Daphnia pulex: one gene and its partner. The protein of the gene in region 1 binds, or shares a complex with, the protein of each later gene. Links are inferred from orthologs where the notes say so. Each region holds a gene or a part of one and is shown on either strand. Other genes may lie near its edges. The genes, in order: phosphatidylinositol 4-kinase beta-like and Golgi resident protein GCP60-like.

The links.
Region 2: the proteins of phosphatidylinositol 4-kinase beta-like (region 1) and Golgi resident protein GCP60-like are in contact, whole or in part, in an NMR structure (PDB 2N73), measured with the Homo sapiens proteins. The link is inferred for Daphnia pulex from reciprocal best matches to the Homo sapiens genes PI4KB and ACBD3. Residues at the interface, in NP_001317650.1 of Homo sapiens: Val37, Gly38, Val42, Ile43, Asp44, Pro45, Val47, Ala48, Gln49, Lys50, Ala51, Cys52, Glu54, Val55, Leu56, Val59, Lys60, His63; in NP_073572.2 of Homo sapiens: Gln245, Ile246, Ala249, Leu250, Gln253, Thr254, Gln257, Phe258, Tyr261, Gln265, Tyr266, Leu276, Leu280, Gln283, His284, Gln287, Tyr288, Gln291, Leu292, Val295.

Annotation. Positions count from the first base shown.
Region 1 is NC_060021.1:592,457-597,033, reverse strand, and holds the start of phosphatidylinositol 4-kinase beta-like, read right to left. Parts: upstream 2,902-4,577; 5' UTR 2,702-2,901; intron 1,510-2,701; exon of another isoform or gene 61-1,509; intron 1-60. Other genes in the region: transcription termination factor 3, mitochondrial-like, read left to right, coding at 3,071-3,657, 3,718-3,841, 3,903-3,993, 4,058-4,335; endoplasmic reticulum-Golgi intermediate compartment protein 3-like, read right to left, coding at 4,469-4,577. UniProt on the Homo sapiens protein: Phosphorylates phosphatidylinositol (PI) in the first committed step in the production of the second messenger inositol-1,4,5,-trisphosphate (PIP). May regulate Golgi disintegration/reorganization during mitosis, possibly via its phosphorylation.
Region 2 is NC_060022.1:4,601,136-4,605,280, forward strand, and holds Golgi resident protein GCP60-like, read right to left. Parts: upstream 2,944-4,145; 5' UTR 2,815-2,943; coding exon 2,718-2,814; intron 2,641-2,717; coding exon 1,936-2,640; intron 1,867-1,935; coding exon 1,742-1,866; intron 1,656-1,741; coding exon 1,487-1,655; intron 1,425-1,486; coding exon 1,189-1,424; 3' UTR 792-1,188; downstream 1-791. Other genes in the region: retinol dehydrogenase 11-like, read left to right, coding at 39-82, 232-395, 466-577; ubiquitin carboxyl-terminal hydrolase 10-like, read right to left, coding at 3,534-3,715, 3,838-3,903, 3,966-4,145. UniProt on the Homo sapiens protein: Involved in the maintenance of Golgi structure by interacting with giantin, affecting protein transport between the endoplasmic reticulum and Golgi. Involved in hormone-induced steroid biosynthesis in testicular Leydig cells.

The DNA of each region.
Region 1 (4,577 bases):
TCTTCTTTTAAAAAAGAAGGTGGGAAATATATGAAGAGAGTAAAAATGGCGTCAAAATACCTTTGTTGATATCACAGCAGTCGTTGTATTATTACTCCGTGAGTCGCCCATTACTTATTTAGCAGCAGTCGACATGTTGTTTGACATCTGTCATTTTGGCTTCGTATTTTCTTCTTTTTTCGCAAGGTGATGAGCAGAGGGTTTAAAAGAGTCGCTGGGCGTAGTAGCTGCCAACCCCCACCGGCTTGAAGCTCAAACCCCACCCTTGGAAGAACAGATCGATACTCGGCTGACGAGAAAAAAATAAACTTTGGTGAGCTCAAAGTGCTGGATCAGAGTTTTCCCAAAATGGCCAGAAAATGGCAGAATATAATATCTCTTTTTTTTGTTAATAATAAAAGCGACACACACACTGAGGAGGAAATAGAAAACGCCTAGCCACCACACACTCGAGTTAAAGAAACAAAACTCTTGTTGCTAGCTCGAAGGAGGGAAAGCCGTCACTTGGTCCAATCAAAAACATAAAAACACACAGACAACGAGCAGGAAAAACGTTTTGGAAATCACACAGGGAAATGTGTCGAAAGTTGATTGGAATTCCAATGCCCAAGCCACGCCGAAACACACAAAAAATCTTTACACACACACACACACACACACGAGAAAAGGAAATACAACACGAAATGACAGCCAACAACCCAACAACTAGCGTAGAGTTGACGGTGCGGCCAGAGACTGACGGTGGAAAGCAGAACGGCCGTGGAAATAGTCGAGGCTAAAAAGCAGCTCGCCCAATAAGAGGGTGGAGCACGTGGTTCACTTTTCAGCCACCAGAGGCGCCACTTTAGACGACCCAAAAGTGGGTTATTTCGACAAGTTTTTAACCCACGATTTTAGCCCTCGTATTCTTTTGAAAATTCCACCATGTCAACGTCACTCACCCACGCAATGCGTTAAAAAATATATACAACAACATCGAAATGATTCAAAGCGGTTTTAAGCTTGACATTTGAAAAGATGCATGAATCACGATTCGGTTTTACAAGCTGACGTCATTTAAACTGATTGAATATTCGTATTATAAATCTCAATGCCACCTTTGCAAAAATTGAGTTGCCCAACCGCTTCTGGCCAAATGCGAAACGATTACTCGACAGAATGGCGAACAATTCCGCCCTCTTACCATGACGTAAGAGAACCTTTTCTAACCGAACGGACGGAAACATTTTTATTCGAGACTTTTAAAAAAACTGGAAGACTCTGGGGTTGACTCAACAAGTTGTGTACAGCTGCTCAGAGATCACAAGCCTCGGTGATATTAGTATAATCTCGGGGTCTTGATAAGATGACGGCATTTCTCGTTATAAACGCAAAGCAAAAAGGGCCTCCAGCATCCTGTCAGTTTCTCTCATCTTCAACCAACATATTGTGTGTCCAAGCTGCTGGTTTTCAGATGAAAATCACTTCTGAAGAAATTTGGATTCTCATACACCCACGAGAGATGACTCACAGACAGCGGCCCCTCCGCATTCCAACGAAACAATCAGCTTGTAGAAATCTAGACCAAGGTTTGACCACACACACACACACATAATGAAATGGTCAACAACCGAAATTGTTGTAGAAAAAAGAATGGGCAATGTATCAATTAAAGTCAAAACTTTGGTCGGAATTGGGTTATGTGTGTACCGACTCGAGAGAAAAACCGCGCCATATAACCCACACGTTGGCTTATATTATCTCTCAAACACTCTCACTTGTAGTAGCAGTACTATAGCTGCTGATTCTCTCAAGCTATTTTCGGACCCTTGATGTAGCCCTAACAGACTCTTGTCAAGTCCCGAAGGACCTTCACGTCACACGCATGAGAAGATCCGACGTCGGAAAAAAGTCCTCACAAACATCCGTTTTTCATGGAAATCCGAAGGCCAGTAAAAAAGTAGAGAGAGTCTCTAATAACGATCAAACTCATTGACCTTTTCAAGTTAGAGACAGACACACACACTCTAGGGCCTTCTCAATGTGCGGAAGCAATTCAAAAGGGGCGTGGTTAATTCATGTTATCTTTTCGATTCGGCAAGCTCTCGTGTTTCAAGTGTTGGTCTCGCTTTCTATTCCTCCAGAAATTTTTACCAATCCAGCTCCAGACGATATTGTTTTCACTCAACTCGAAAAGATTAAGACATGAATTGACCATTAAGGGGGGGTGGCTGGTTGAAAAATAATGACGCGCGGAGACAATGTCGACCGCCATGGCAGTTGAGACAGTCAAGTAAAATAACACACAAGAGAAAAAAGAAACAACAACAAAAGAGGCCAGTCAATAAGTCTTAATGGGTTAAAATACAAAACCCAACGGCGGAACTTTCTAGTCGAATAATGGAAGGAAACGGCTAGTGCATGTGTACTTGAAAAGAGTATTCACTCCACTAAAAGAAGGAACTCGGCAACTTATTTTTTGATTGTCGTTTTCTTTTTTGTGACCAATTCTATAATCGATGATGTTTGACCATCATTGCGAAAAAGCTGTTCAATTAAGTTTTTTTCTACTTGAAAATATTCGTGAATCTTTATGCTTTGTTGTGGGGGACAATTAGATTAGGCCCCCATTACTGACACATACCGTCACATATTGTGCAAAGGGCTGTTGTCGCTATGCACCTTAACAGTTCAACTAAAGAATACTTTTGAATTCACTTACAGTGGAATTGGGTCTCGATTGATTGGGCGCCGAACGCCATTGTTTTCCTATGGATGTCAAACAATCAGATACAAGTTTTCTTCTTATTTCTTGCACGATTTTGCTTCACAGTTTAGAGAATTGAGACCACCAAAGAATCTTGCCTCTCACATCTCCCGATCAAAAAGAAAACACATGACGCCACCTAACGGTTAGTTTATTGACCACGTCGTCACACGATTTCTTCTGCTAGTAATTCTTCACGTGTTTGTTGTGTTTGTGTGAAGTTTAAAATTACTTCGGATGTAAATGTTCTCAACTCTTCAAATTAAGCTGTTTTTCCAGTAGAATTTGATTCGTATTAGTTGAAAACAAATTACACAACAAAAAATGTTACGGCAGTGTCTCCGATTGAAGAACATTCAGTTTTTACTAAAAAGTACTGCTAATAGAAATGGGGCAGATTTTGTTGAGCATAGGATTCTAGTTTCTAATGTAAGAAGAAATCATTCTGTTGTTCCTATAAACAAATCAGGGAGTGATGTCTTAGATGACAGCACAGAATTAATCCCATTTCAAGAAAAGAATAATCCATTATTGGAAGATCCTAATTTTGATGGAGTTGTACCTATTGTGGCCCCCAGTTTCAACTTAGCGTCTTTAGTAAACAAGTCAGAACTTCTTCAGACGTTTGTTAAACTTGGCGTATCTATTCATGATTGGGAAAAAAAGGGAAACATACACTCTTGGATAGTGAAGCTCGATTTCAAGAAAGATGTGCAACCCATCATCCAATTTCTGGTAGATCAAGGTGTTTCACCAGAATCTCTAGGAACTATTTTCACTAAAAGTCCATTGCTTTTAAAGACAAGTATTGAAGAGCTTGAAATTAGAACTAAATATTTACAATCAAAAAAGTTTACTTCAGAAATGATTGTTAGAATCTTTTCCAGAAATCCATTCTGGCTACTATTCAGGTACATAATTTCAAAGGTATCTTAACATTTTTAAAAGAGTTGTTAATCTTGTATTTTTAGCACTCAACGAATAGATACTAGACTTGGATTTGTACAACAGACATTCGATTTAACCGGTAATGAACTGAGAGCTTTGGCGTCAAGAGAGCCTCGGCTTATCACAAGTAACATTCAACAAATTAAGGTATACAAGTTTTTTTTTTTTTTAAATATGATCAACAATCTAACAAGCTCTTAACTTTCAGTTGATGAATTTTGGGTTCAAAGAAGAAATGGGATTTGAGCATCAGCAAATTAAACAAATGCTTCTGACAAAGCCAAAATTGTGGTTGATGAGTATGAGTATCTCTTTCATTTCGTGTAAATACTTCAAAAAATTCAAGATTTCAATTATTTTCAGACAAACCAATGCTGTTGGACAGGTTTGACTATCTTCACAATGTAGTTAAGATGGATCATGAAACCATGCTACAATTCCCTGGAGTACTGACCAGTCGAAGTTTCCGGGTTAAACAGCGCCACGGATTTTTGTGTTATTTGAACCGTGCTCAATACGATCCTAAATTGCCAAACTATGTTAGTCCACTAAAATTAATAAGTGATTCGGATTCGAACTTTGCTGTTCACGTTGCTAAAGCTTCCGTTCAAGAATTCAATGATTTCTGTAAAACTGTGTGATGTTATCGTTTTAATAATAATAATAGCGACCTAAAAATGATTTGACTAGGACTTATTTTTATTGCAAACCTATTTAAACAAATTAAAATGGCTGTGTAAGAAATAAAGAATTAATCGAGACAGTGAATTTTATTCATGTAGCTTTTCCCAGTTGCAATTTTTGTTGCAAAAGTTTTGAAGACCGGTATAGTAGGGAATCAATAATTCCGGCAACAGTAAACACTCCGCCGATAATTGTACAT
Region 2 (4,145 bases), on another chromosome or scaffold:
AACTATAACAGCTGAATAAAATTATTTTGATTCACAAGGTACTGGAGTAACCTGCTATTCGCTTCATCCTGGAGTTGTTCAGGTATCAAAAAATATTTTTTTAAATGTGTCACGACAGCATTTTATCTGTTAAGTGACACCCGACGCCTCCCGACGTGACTCACAGTTCGTTGGAGTTCAATTACGGAATTCCGCAGGAAATTGAAACTGCTACTCTTTATTATTAATTAGACGGAGCTTGGTAGGCATCTGCGTGTGACAACCAATCGTTTGGTGGATGACATGTTCCATTGGTTTGGACAATACTTTTTTAAAACACCCGAAATGGGTGCGCAAACGACTATATATTGTGCAACCGAGCCTTCCCTTTCCAGTCGGACCGGCCTTTATTACAGGTAACACCTTATATTGTTAGTACAATCGATTAGTTTATCAAAGATAACACATTTCCCCCGTTAATTCTAGTGACTGTGCGGAAGAGAGACCAGCAAGACAAGCCGAAAACAAAGAGGCGGCACGTCGCTTGTGGGAAATCAGTGAGAAATTGGTGAATTTCAGCTACGGCTCTTCTAATTAAATGTCGCATCATGTCATGACACTGAATAAATGAAATTTAAAGAAAATATTGCTTTTTTTTAATTTGGGTTTAAAGTCCAGTTATGCAATGGTTAGAAGACCTACAACTTGGGTTCTTCCTGGAAACCTTATCAATAGAGGCCAAAAAATCAACTAGAGAATGTCTTTCTCCCTTTTGTATGCCACAACTTATAAAAATACCGAAGAAGCAGGTATTAGACTAAAAAATATTTGTTTATCCAAAGCATGAAAATTAGGTCAGTCAGAAGTACAACTGGAGAGATGAGTGCATCTGTACATGGTAAACCGATCGCTGAACAAAAAGAACTTTGGGTGTTTTGTTTTTGGTATGGTAACTTAAAGAAACGTGTTAAAGATAAAATTTAAGTTAGCGTGAATACATGAAGATGATGTAATACTGCATATCAAGTCCGGTGATCTAAAACAGAATCAGACCAAAAATATGTTGCGGAAAAAAAACCGATCAGCTATTATAGTCGCACATTACTTTCACGTCAAGATCGATTTACTGTAAACAACATAGCTATTGAAGTTGTATATGAACAGACAAAGATGGCAGAGGAAAATTTGTGTCAAAAACATCGGAATCGTTCAACGAGTATAATAAACTCTGTAGTATAAAGTTTTAGATCGCCAGAGACTGTAAGAGTTATCAAATTTCAAAAGATAAACTCCTTGACCAGGATATGTGTGGCTGCCAGCGTATACTTCTTCTTGACAATCACGCCGATACACCGGAATGACGATTGAGATCGGAGGCCTGTTTGAGTCAATAAGAGCTGAATGGCTTGAGTTGTTGCCTCCTTGCTCCACATCGTCTTCTATAACTTGATATTACATGATATTAATCACAAGTCGTTAAAATAAATATTTGTTCAAGCAAAATTACCATTTTCGTCATCGTCGTCATCTTCATCTTCGCTGTCCGAAATATGAACAGACACTTGTTCAGTAGGTGATTTTGTCCATTCAAAAAACAATCCAAATCCAATATCATAATTATCAGTTGCAAATTCCCAAAACAAACAAGACCCATCTTCGTGAGTTGGAACTCGAACCTGAAGCGAATCACATTTAGTTAAATAAATGAAATAGCTATATATATTTTGCATAAAATGTATATAGCGCTTGAAGTCTAACGAACCGTGACAGTTTCGCCGTGTCCAACTTTGATAATAGAATCCTTTCCTTCTTTGTAGACTGAATCTTTGAATTCCCGTATATCTTTACGTGTCCACATAGAAGCAGCTACGATATCGGCAGCAAGCTCTACACAAAAAAAAAATCAATAATTGGATGGCAGTCCTTTTGAAAGGAATTTTATGAATAAAAACATACCTTCTTCATCATTACCACTAGCTTCAGAAAAATTGTCAGGTTCTAGTGGGATGTTCTGAATACTTGCTAAAGCATTTAGTGCTGCAGCTTCAACATCCAGTGGTAACTCTTGAGAAAACTCACTGTCTTCAGCCTTGGTAATGTTCTGTGATAGGATTTGCTGCTGATATATCTGCTGCATGTACTGAATGTAATGTTGCTCTTGTAACTGCCGGATCAAAATAGCTTGTTGATCTGGATTTTCTGGATACTGCTGCTCGGCATAAGTTTTGAACTGGTCATAGGTTTGTAAATTCAGAGCTTCTTTGATTTGCTTTCGTTTTTCTTCCTGTTCTTTCATTTGAATTTCTCTTTTAGCATCTTCTTCGGCTTCTATTTTCAATCTCTCTACTTCTTTAAGTTGAAATTCTAAATCTTCTTTCTCTTTTTCAGCTTTCATTTCAATTTCTTTTTTGTGAGCCTCAACACATGCATGGAACAAAGGGCAAGCTGAATTAAGAATTTCAACAAAACTTAGCATAGCACTTTCTCTGCCTATGTCTCCAAGCTTCTGCCAAGCGATTTTTCGATCTTTTCCTATAACATCAAGTACACCCACATTTCCGTGGAGATCAGGGTTGAATGGGCCATTAGAAACTTGTTGGGTAAATGCCAGAAGCTTACATTTCTGATCATAGCCTAAATGAAAAGCTTTTCCTTCTTTATCTGTTGATAAAAATGAAGATACAAAACCATGAGAACAGATGCACATACAAGGTTTAAACAGATAAAACATATATTACCCTTTAAGAATTTAATCCCTAGTTTGTACAAGGTCTCTAAATCACAACCCCATTTCTCAAGAAATTCTGAGCTGGTCACTGGGCAAGGCTTCTCCATTATAGTAATACAAGAACTTGTTCTTAAGCAATCCTCAATTGTGCCTTGCTGGCAATAAAATAAAGTAATTCTGTCTGCACTCAGGGAGGAAACGTCACAAAAAAATTACTGAAAAAAAAATAACAATATTCTGTGCGACGTCGCCAGTTCGACTTTACCAAACGATCAAGAGTTCCAGCGCCCGCCCAGCGGCATGCCAGCGGTTCGCCGGTTCCATATTTTGAATTTATGAGTTCTTTTTAGTCGCTCAACTCGCGTTCTTTTCTACTATAATGCAATACACTTATTGAAACGTAATGAAAATCTTGACTCAGAGAAATTTAACTTTAGTTAAGTTTATTATATTTTTGTACAAGAAACGAAGATGCGGTGGTTTCTAAACAGTACAAATACGAAACGTACCGATTTCATTTGAAACAACACATAAAAATCTGCTGACTACAATCATCCGATCATATTATATCACGCTCAATCCAATTTTCGAACACAAATACCACATTAACCAACGTCAAATGAAAGCAATTAAACATCAGACCACTAAGGGCACTTCCGACCACATCCACAATAAAAGGTCAAGGACACTCGCATAACAGGAATATGCAAGAAAAAAAACAACGACGGATTCATTTCTCATACTGGAGAATACCACGAAGATATTCTTTAACAGCATCTATTACAAGAAATAAACCGCGCGACTTTTCAATATTAGCAAAAAAAATTTACACGTTCAATTTCCTGTAGAGTAACAAGTACGGCATCCTCGGCAAATTATATTTAAAGGGTTGAGTCTCCACAACACGCACAATGCTATCGTCAAAACGAAGCCAACTTCCAGTCCCACTGTGATGCACTTCAGTTACATAATGTCCTTTGGTCGCTTCCTTTCCATCGTGATAAACAACTGTAAGAAAATGAGACGTTAGAATGAATGTTTCTACAACTAAGCTAACTTGCTTATCACAATTCACAGAACTTATTAACACAACGCATGAAAATACATAAAAATCAGACACAAACACTGACCTGCAAATAACTTGTACTGTCGCTGTTTTTCTTTGAGTTTACTTTTCTGGCTTGGTGACAGGAAGTCTTGACATGAAAATATAAAATTGAAATATATGTATATATAAAACACTTTATATTCTGAATACCTTTACTCAATTCCAAATCGGAAGAGAAGTCCACTCTCTTCATCAGCTTTTGACATCCACCAGATTTGTCATACACGAAACACTTTAAGTGTAAGATTAAAATAGGGGGCAGTTCTTCAAGAGTAGTCTGTCGAGAAGCCTCCACCTCTTGACCAGTCTTCGGACAAATATAACCGGTCA